Linked DNA regions of Kluyveromyces lactis. The protein of the gene in region 1 interacts with the protein of each later gene in a biochemical or structural test. Links are inferred from orthologs where the notes say so. Each region holds a gene or a part of one and is shown in the gene's direction. Other genes may lie near its edges.

Region 1 (3,229 bases):
TACAAAGAAAGGTAGAAGAAATGAATTCAATTATTGATGAACTCAATGCATTGAAAGAAGAAATGAAAAATAGACCTAAAACCGGCTCAAGTTCATCATCTTCGTCATCGTTGTCTTCGGCATCTTCCTCTTCAGAAGATGGTTCATCACAATCACAAGCATCTCATGGGTCGGATATTGTATCCAATGGATCATCATTCCTTGAATCATTATCTCAAAAGTATTCAACTGGACAACAGACCGCCACGTCTACGAATGGTGGTCGTGTGGGACGCGAGACTAGGTATCCTGGAAGCGGTTATCATAGAAAATCGTTTTTGAATAGGTTAAAGAATACTACAGTGAACCCAACAGCGACGAGCGAACATCTGCCACCGTTTTTGACTGAGCTAAAATCAAAAGTTAAAATGACAGATGACATCGATGATGTCCCTGTGGGTATTGGCATATCTGTATCTCCTGGTGCATCGTTAAAGAGTACTGAAAAACCAGTCAGTCAATTTACAGAAAAACCCATTTTGACAGATGCTCAACAGGGAAGCGACAAGATCTCGAATGTGATCTTGAATGATAAATATTCGCCAACGACAATGCAGTCTGAAATCGGGGATTCCGAATCTATTGAAGCGAATCCAACAACAACAATCGTATCCGCTGCTTCGCCACCGCCACCACCACCACCGCCGCCACCACCTCCCTTACCGGTATCATTAGGTGGAACTCTTACTGCAGTACCATCTCCTCTCCCTACTGCATTATCCCCTGGTATTGCTCCTCCCCCTCCTCCTCCCCCTCCCCCACCTCCACCATTTCCATCGGCAAACACACCCAAAGCGACAGTCACAAGTCCCTTACTACCGCAATCACCATCTCTCTTTGAAAGGTATCCTCGTCCCAAGAAGAAGCTCAAACAATTACACTGGGAAAAAATTGACAATGCTGGGGATTCTATTTGGAAAAATGCTCAAGCAGAAAAGGTTGCTGACGATCTATTCGAAAGAGGTGTATTAAGTCAATTAGAAAAAGCGTTTGCTGCCAGAGAAACCAAATCATTAAAAGGAAAGTCTAAGGAAGCAAATGAAAAGATTACCTTTTTATCGAGAGATGTTTCCCAACAATTTGGTATTAACCTACATATGTTCTCCAACCTCGATGTTAAAGATGTTGTTGGGAAGGTAATGAAATGTGATAGAGAATTCCTATCTACTCCTAGCGTAATAGAGTTTTTGTCAAAGCCTACCATAATTGAAGTAACGAATAATTTGGCACGATATTTCAATCCTTACAGTACTGATTGGGAGGGAGTGACATCTGTTGACGATGCAAAACCCCCCGAAAAAGATCCTAATGAACTTCAACGTGCAGATCAACTATATGTTGAATTTATGATTAACTTACAACCGTACTGGGGGTCTCGTATGAGAGCAATCACTATGATAACTACTTATGAAAAAGACTATTCGGATTTGGTCACTAAACTAAGAAAAATTGATAGAGCAGTTCAGTGCATCGAACAATCTGAAAGTCTCAGACATGTTTTCGATGTTATTTTGGCAGTTGGTAATTATATGAATGATTCTTCAAAGCAAGCTCAGGGGTTCAAGCTAAGCACCCTACAAAGATTGACCTTCATTAAAGATGAAAAGAACAGTATGACTTTTTTGAACTATGTGGAAAAGATAATTCGTGAAAATTATCCCGAATACAGCCATTTCGTGGAAGAGCTTGAGCCTATTTTTAGCGTAACAAAAATATCCATCGAACAGTTGGTAACTGATTGTAAGGAATTTTCACAGTCAGTAATTAACGTTGAGCGTTCTATTGAAATTGGAAACCTAAGTGACCCTTCTAAATTCCATCCGTTAGATCGTGTTTTAAATAAGGTAGTACCGGTTTTACCTGAAGCTAGAAAGAAAGCTGATCTTCTAAGCGATGAAATCAAATTAAGTTTGCTGGAATTTGAAAATCTAATGAAGAAATTTGGCGAAGATGCCAACGACAAGTTCTCTAAAAACTCTTTCTTCCAAAAGTTTGCAGATTTCATTACCGAATTCAAGAAAGCTAAAACTCATAATGTCAAACTGGAAGAAGAAGAACGTGCTTACGAAAGGAGAAAGAAAATGATTGAAGATCAACAACGGAAACAACAGGAGGCAGATAGTAAGGCAACAGCAAAAAATTTAAGCACTTCGCAAGAACCGTCTGATGATAGGGACGATATAGAGAAGCTTTTGGATAAATTGAAAAATGCAGCTCCTTCAAAAGGAGATCCATCTAGTACTCGTAAACGTGCATTGGCTAGAAAGAAATTACTAGATGGTAAATCCGGGGCATCAATTTTTGATAACATCACTGCTGATAGTACTATCGAAGCTTTCGTGGAACAAAATAGAACGCTTACCGAATCGCCTACTGCTAAAAAATCGGCCAGCCTTCCTGAAACTGAAAGCTTGTCGTCATCAAAACAAGACCCTGCAGATAGAGCAAGGAATTTATTACTAGAATTAAGAGGCCCTGACGAAAGAAAAGACGCTTCTCCATCCCCAATCAAAGCAAAGGACAAGCTTAGGGATCTGAAAAAAAAAGATTCTTCTGTGAAAGTAGACCAACCTAATAAACTACAATTTGTTGGAAGCCTAGAAGTTGGACCTCATCCTAAACCGTTATCGCCAACCCAAGATTTGATGGACACATCGAACTCATCGGAAGATGAGTTTATTGATGCTTAAAGACTACATAATACTCATTTCAGCATTTATTTAATAACTACAATATGTGTATACTTGCATAGACATAATTCGTATACCGAAATTGACATTTTCATTTTAAAACCGGGTAATGAATTTAGTTCCAATGTTTGATGAAATCAAGAATGTAATATATATCAACCAAATTACCAGAGGACTAATGAAATACATAAATACTCGCCTGTGTAATTTACTTCAATAAATGAATCACTGATTTTGCTAACAGAAAGTACTTGCTACAAGCAAAGCTGACGGTAGCCTTATTTTTAGAATGGCGGATCAAGAAGAGTCAAAGCGCATATCTTTGCAAGTGACATCTTTATCTACGCAATTAATCGAAAGCATTGATAAACAATCCCAATTAGAAGAACAGTTACTAGTGGCTAAGAAAACCATTTCCACTCAGCAGAATATTGCGAACTCATATAATGAATTGAAGCAGGAACTACAATCTTTGAAATTACAATACGAAACCGATAAGA
Region 2 (3,908 bases), about 1.4 Mb from region 1:
AGTAAGTAGTTCGATCCCCTGGCTTGTAATTTCAGTAATATCATCAGCTGAAGATGGTGGATTTGAATCTGAATCTGAATCTGGTTCTGGCTCATATTTCTGTAGAAAATATTCCTCTAGTTTTGAGTCTTCCATTGAATCTTGCTCATTCTGTAGCCGTAGATATGTTTCCGGGAATCCAACTTCAATTTCAGCATCCGATTCTATTAATTCGTTTACAAGGTTGTCGTCTCTGGAATTAAACGTTCTACGAGATATTTTTCTCTTGGCTAAACCTTTACTCCGTGAATTTTCATCGTAGTGGTTATTTTTATTTCTTCCTTGTCTATTACTTTCAACTGTATTGTTATCAAGTGCTTTCTTCCACGCCATTTTGGGTAATACACCTTTGTATCCTGTTCTGATATTGACTTGCCTTCCTCTAAAAACAACGTTATCATCATAGGATAAACTGGATCTATCAAACTGATTCGAGTCACTTTCCGAATGACACTCGTCACGAATTTCATCGCTGTCTAGTTCAGCATTACCATATACCTCATCATCATCATCATCATCTGAAATATGGAAATGGTGATGCCTTCGAAGCCTTGTTGACGCAATAGTCGAGTGTTCTTGCTGTGAAAGGCCGCCCTTCACAGGACTCGAATTGAGCACGCCCCCATTGTCCGTATTAACAGTAATATCTTGCCGGGAACCACTCGGCAGATTGATATGATCTGCTAGAGATTCGAAATTAGATACATCGTACCCTTGCAATAACTGCCGATGCCGTATTCTATCCAAACTATACGGCATCTTCTGGATTGCTTTACGCTTTCTCAATGCACGTCTTATACTATTAGAGTAAACTCCAATATCAGGAGGTGTCTGTGCTACGTTATCGAGACTGCCCGGAATGACGCGTACCTGGTATTCGTCATCGAAGATTGGAAATACATTTGGTTCCGAATGCAGAGGTATTACGATCTCTTCATCACTAGCCTCCGAATTGGGGACTACAGAGTCCTGATTCATCCCACAGAAACCACGCTATATGTCATACGCGGTAACACGTCTCTGTTGGTTGCTTAGCTTCTGAAATGGTAAGTTTCCATACTTTCCTGTTTCATTATCTCGGCCTAACTTCAGGAAATTACGTTTCTTGATATTTATCAACAAAAGATTTATGCAAACCAAATCAAACCTAAAGCTTTTTGATCTAGTAATGCTTTGAAGAAACATACCGTTTAAAAAGTGTACGTTGGATTTCCTAGCTAGTAGTTAGGTGTGTGGAAGCAGTAGGGTGAGGTACGTAAGGTGTGTCTGATAAAGATGGAAACACCACCACCAATTTCTAAATCAGCATCATCTGTGGAAACTAGTGTGACGAAACTATTGATTTCAACTAAACAACTATTACAAATTCTGACGCAATGGTCCAAGGGCAAAGTTACCGAGCGTAATGTTTCCGATGTGTATGTTCAATTGGGTAATGATTTCAAGTTAGTCAGTAGACATTTTACCCATGCTAGAATTGATATTTCGGATCTTGGCGATGTGCCAAAAGACCTTCGAAGAATATTGGAGGTGGCATTGAGAGAGACTGCATCTGAGGAAACGTTGAATAAATACCTACCGCAGATCAGAGATATTATAGTTAAACTCTTGGAGAAACTTAAGGTTAAACAGGCGATGATAAAACTGAGCAGGAATGAAGATGCTTTGAAATATCAGCATACTCCTCAAAGATCTTCCGTTTCATCCGTAGTCAGCGCAACGACATCTTTGGCTGGCGCGGGACCGACATCTACTTCAGCTCATATTGAAACAAAACAGATACCTACGTTAGAAGTTCCCAAGGGTTCTGAAAGCGATGCGTTAACTCAATTGAAAAAGGGAAATAATCTGCAAAGAAGAGCCTCGAAGAGGTTTTCAGCGTATCATATGGCGAAATTAGCCAACCAAACAGCTTCAGATCCATCGAATTCCCCAACGTCTAAAAATTTAGCAGTTCCAGCCGCTGCTGCAGCGGCAGCAGCGGCCAATGTTTCTGATACAGAAAGCATTAAAATGGAAAGACAGCCTTCTCGAATCTCTTCTGCTTCATCCGTAGATTATCATCCCATGACAGGAGCACCAGAACCAAAAGGTGATAACTCAAGCATAGATGAAATTGTTGTCTTTTTGAAGATCGGTGAGAAGGTGAAACGATGTGTAACTAGTTCTCACCTCTCTTTCAACAAGCTTAGACTTTTATTTGTTGAGAAATTTGCATATTCCCCAGGAGGTGATGTATTCCCTGACATATATGTGAAGGAACCCAAATACGAGGCATTTTACGAACTTGAAGAGAGTCACCTACATGGTATAATAGATGGGAGCGTATTCCAATTACAGGTACAATCATCGTCTCTAGATGAACAGTTCCGCCAACTTCAAGATGGTTTATTAGAAAAGCAAGATACAATTTTTCAAAATTTGAAAGAGATTATCCAAAATAGTACTCACGTATCGTCACCAGATTATTCAAGTGGTCCAAAATCCTCAGATTCTGCAACAGTTATACATGAGGATCATCGTAAAGAAGTTGCTCATATTAGGCACGAAATTACCGTTTTAAAACAGATACATAGCGACCAAAAGAGATCGCTTCAAAATACTATAAACGCTATCGTGGAAAAACTACAGAAATTCCAGAGCCTTTCAATAACTACAGGAAAGTCAGCTAATCGCGATTATATGGAAAAGTCCCAGTCGAAGTTATCCGAAGTTTCTGATAATCTTTTGAGTAAAGTTGACGATCTTCAAGATGTCATTGAGGCATTACGTAAAGATGTGGCCATTAGAGGTGCGAGAACACCCAAGAAGAAGATTGAAAATGTATCGTCTGAATTAGACTCCGCTAAGAAGGATTTGGATCAAATGAGAAATTATATAGATGTCGAAAAGCCAAATTGGAAAACTATTTGGGAAGCGGAATTAGATAGGGTGTGTGAAGAGCAACAGTTCATGACATTGCAAGAAGATCTCGTATTTGATTTACAAGAAGACTTGAATAAGGTTATGGAGACATTTGATTTGGTTAAATTGTGCTGCGAACAACAGGAAAAGGCCCCAAAGAAGAATAAGGGAAACCCCATTCTTCCGATAGCCAAGCCAGGCACATATAATATGATCCGCGATCAAGTCTTGACTGAAGTTCAGAATCTCAACCCAGATCATGACAGTAGAGTGGAAGCCATTAAAAAGGCAGAAAAACTAAGAAACAGAGAGAAAGAGTACAAGGAAAATGAAGCCTTTGAAGATGAGTTGGGCAATTTCGTTGAGAAAGGTAACTTCAAAAAGGCCGGTGGCATTGAGGAGATAGAACGCCTAAGAAAACAAAAAGACGAAGAAAATCTGCGTGTTAATTTTGGTCTGATATAGGTACAATAATTTTAAGTAATAGCATTAAAACTCTATTAATAGTTTCAAATCGCTGACATTTGTCAAAATGTCTGCAAATGCGTTCTTCCTTAATTTTAATTGTTCAAGGAAAACTGACAACACCAGTTCTTTTGACGCGACGGACTTTTCCATCGAGAACATATTAGCTGAAGAGAGGTTAAGATCAATTCGCTGAAAAATGTTGAAAACAAATTGTTTGAAAGATCTTCTGCTGCTTTTCTTCCTATTAAAAAGGACAATGAACGATTGAATTACATTTAACGCAACTTCTCTCAGGAACCTTGCAGCCGTTTCCCAAGAATTTAAGCGCTCGTCCAGCATATTATAAGATAGTCTCATCTCAAAGATCCAGAGTAATTTATTATACAGTTGCTTAGATGATCCCAAAACTGTTCCTAGGACATTATACGATGAGCGGTCTTTCCAAACTTCTAGGGTTCTTAGATTTAACTGCAGTGCACAAAAAGGTACATTTGTTG

Evidence for each region.
Region 2: the proteins of BNI1 (region 1) and BUD6 form a complex in vitro, tested with the Saccharomyces cerevisiae proteins (5 studies listed by BioGRID). The link is inferred for Kluyveromyces lactis from reciprocal best matches to the Saccharomyces cerevisiae genes BNI1 and BUD6.

The regions. Positions count from the first base shown.
Region 1 is NC_006039.1:196,033-199,261, reverse strand, and holds the end of BNI1 (formin BNI1), read left to right. Parts: coding exon 1-2,729; downstream 2,730-3,229. Other genes in the region: guanine nucleotide exchange factor SEC2, read left to right, coding at 3,019-3,229. UniProt on the Saccharomyces cerevisiae protein: Required for the assembly of F-actin structures, such as actin cables and stress fibers. Nucleates actin filaments. Binds to the barbed end of the actin filament and acts as a leaky capper, slowing both polymerization and depolymerization.
Region 2 is NC_006039.1:1,621,433-1,625,340, forward strand, and holds BUD6 (formin-mediated actin nucleation enhancer), read left to right. Parts: upstream 1-1,314; coding exon 1,315-3,408; downstream 3,409-3,908. Other genes in the region: MMS22 (Mms22p), read right to left, coding at 1-1,017; EST2 (telomerase reverse transcriptase), read right to left, coding at 3,433-3,908.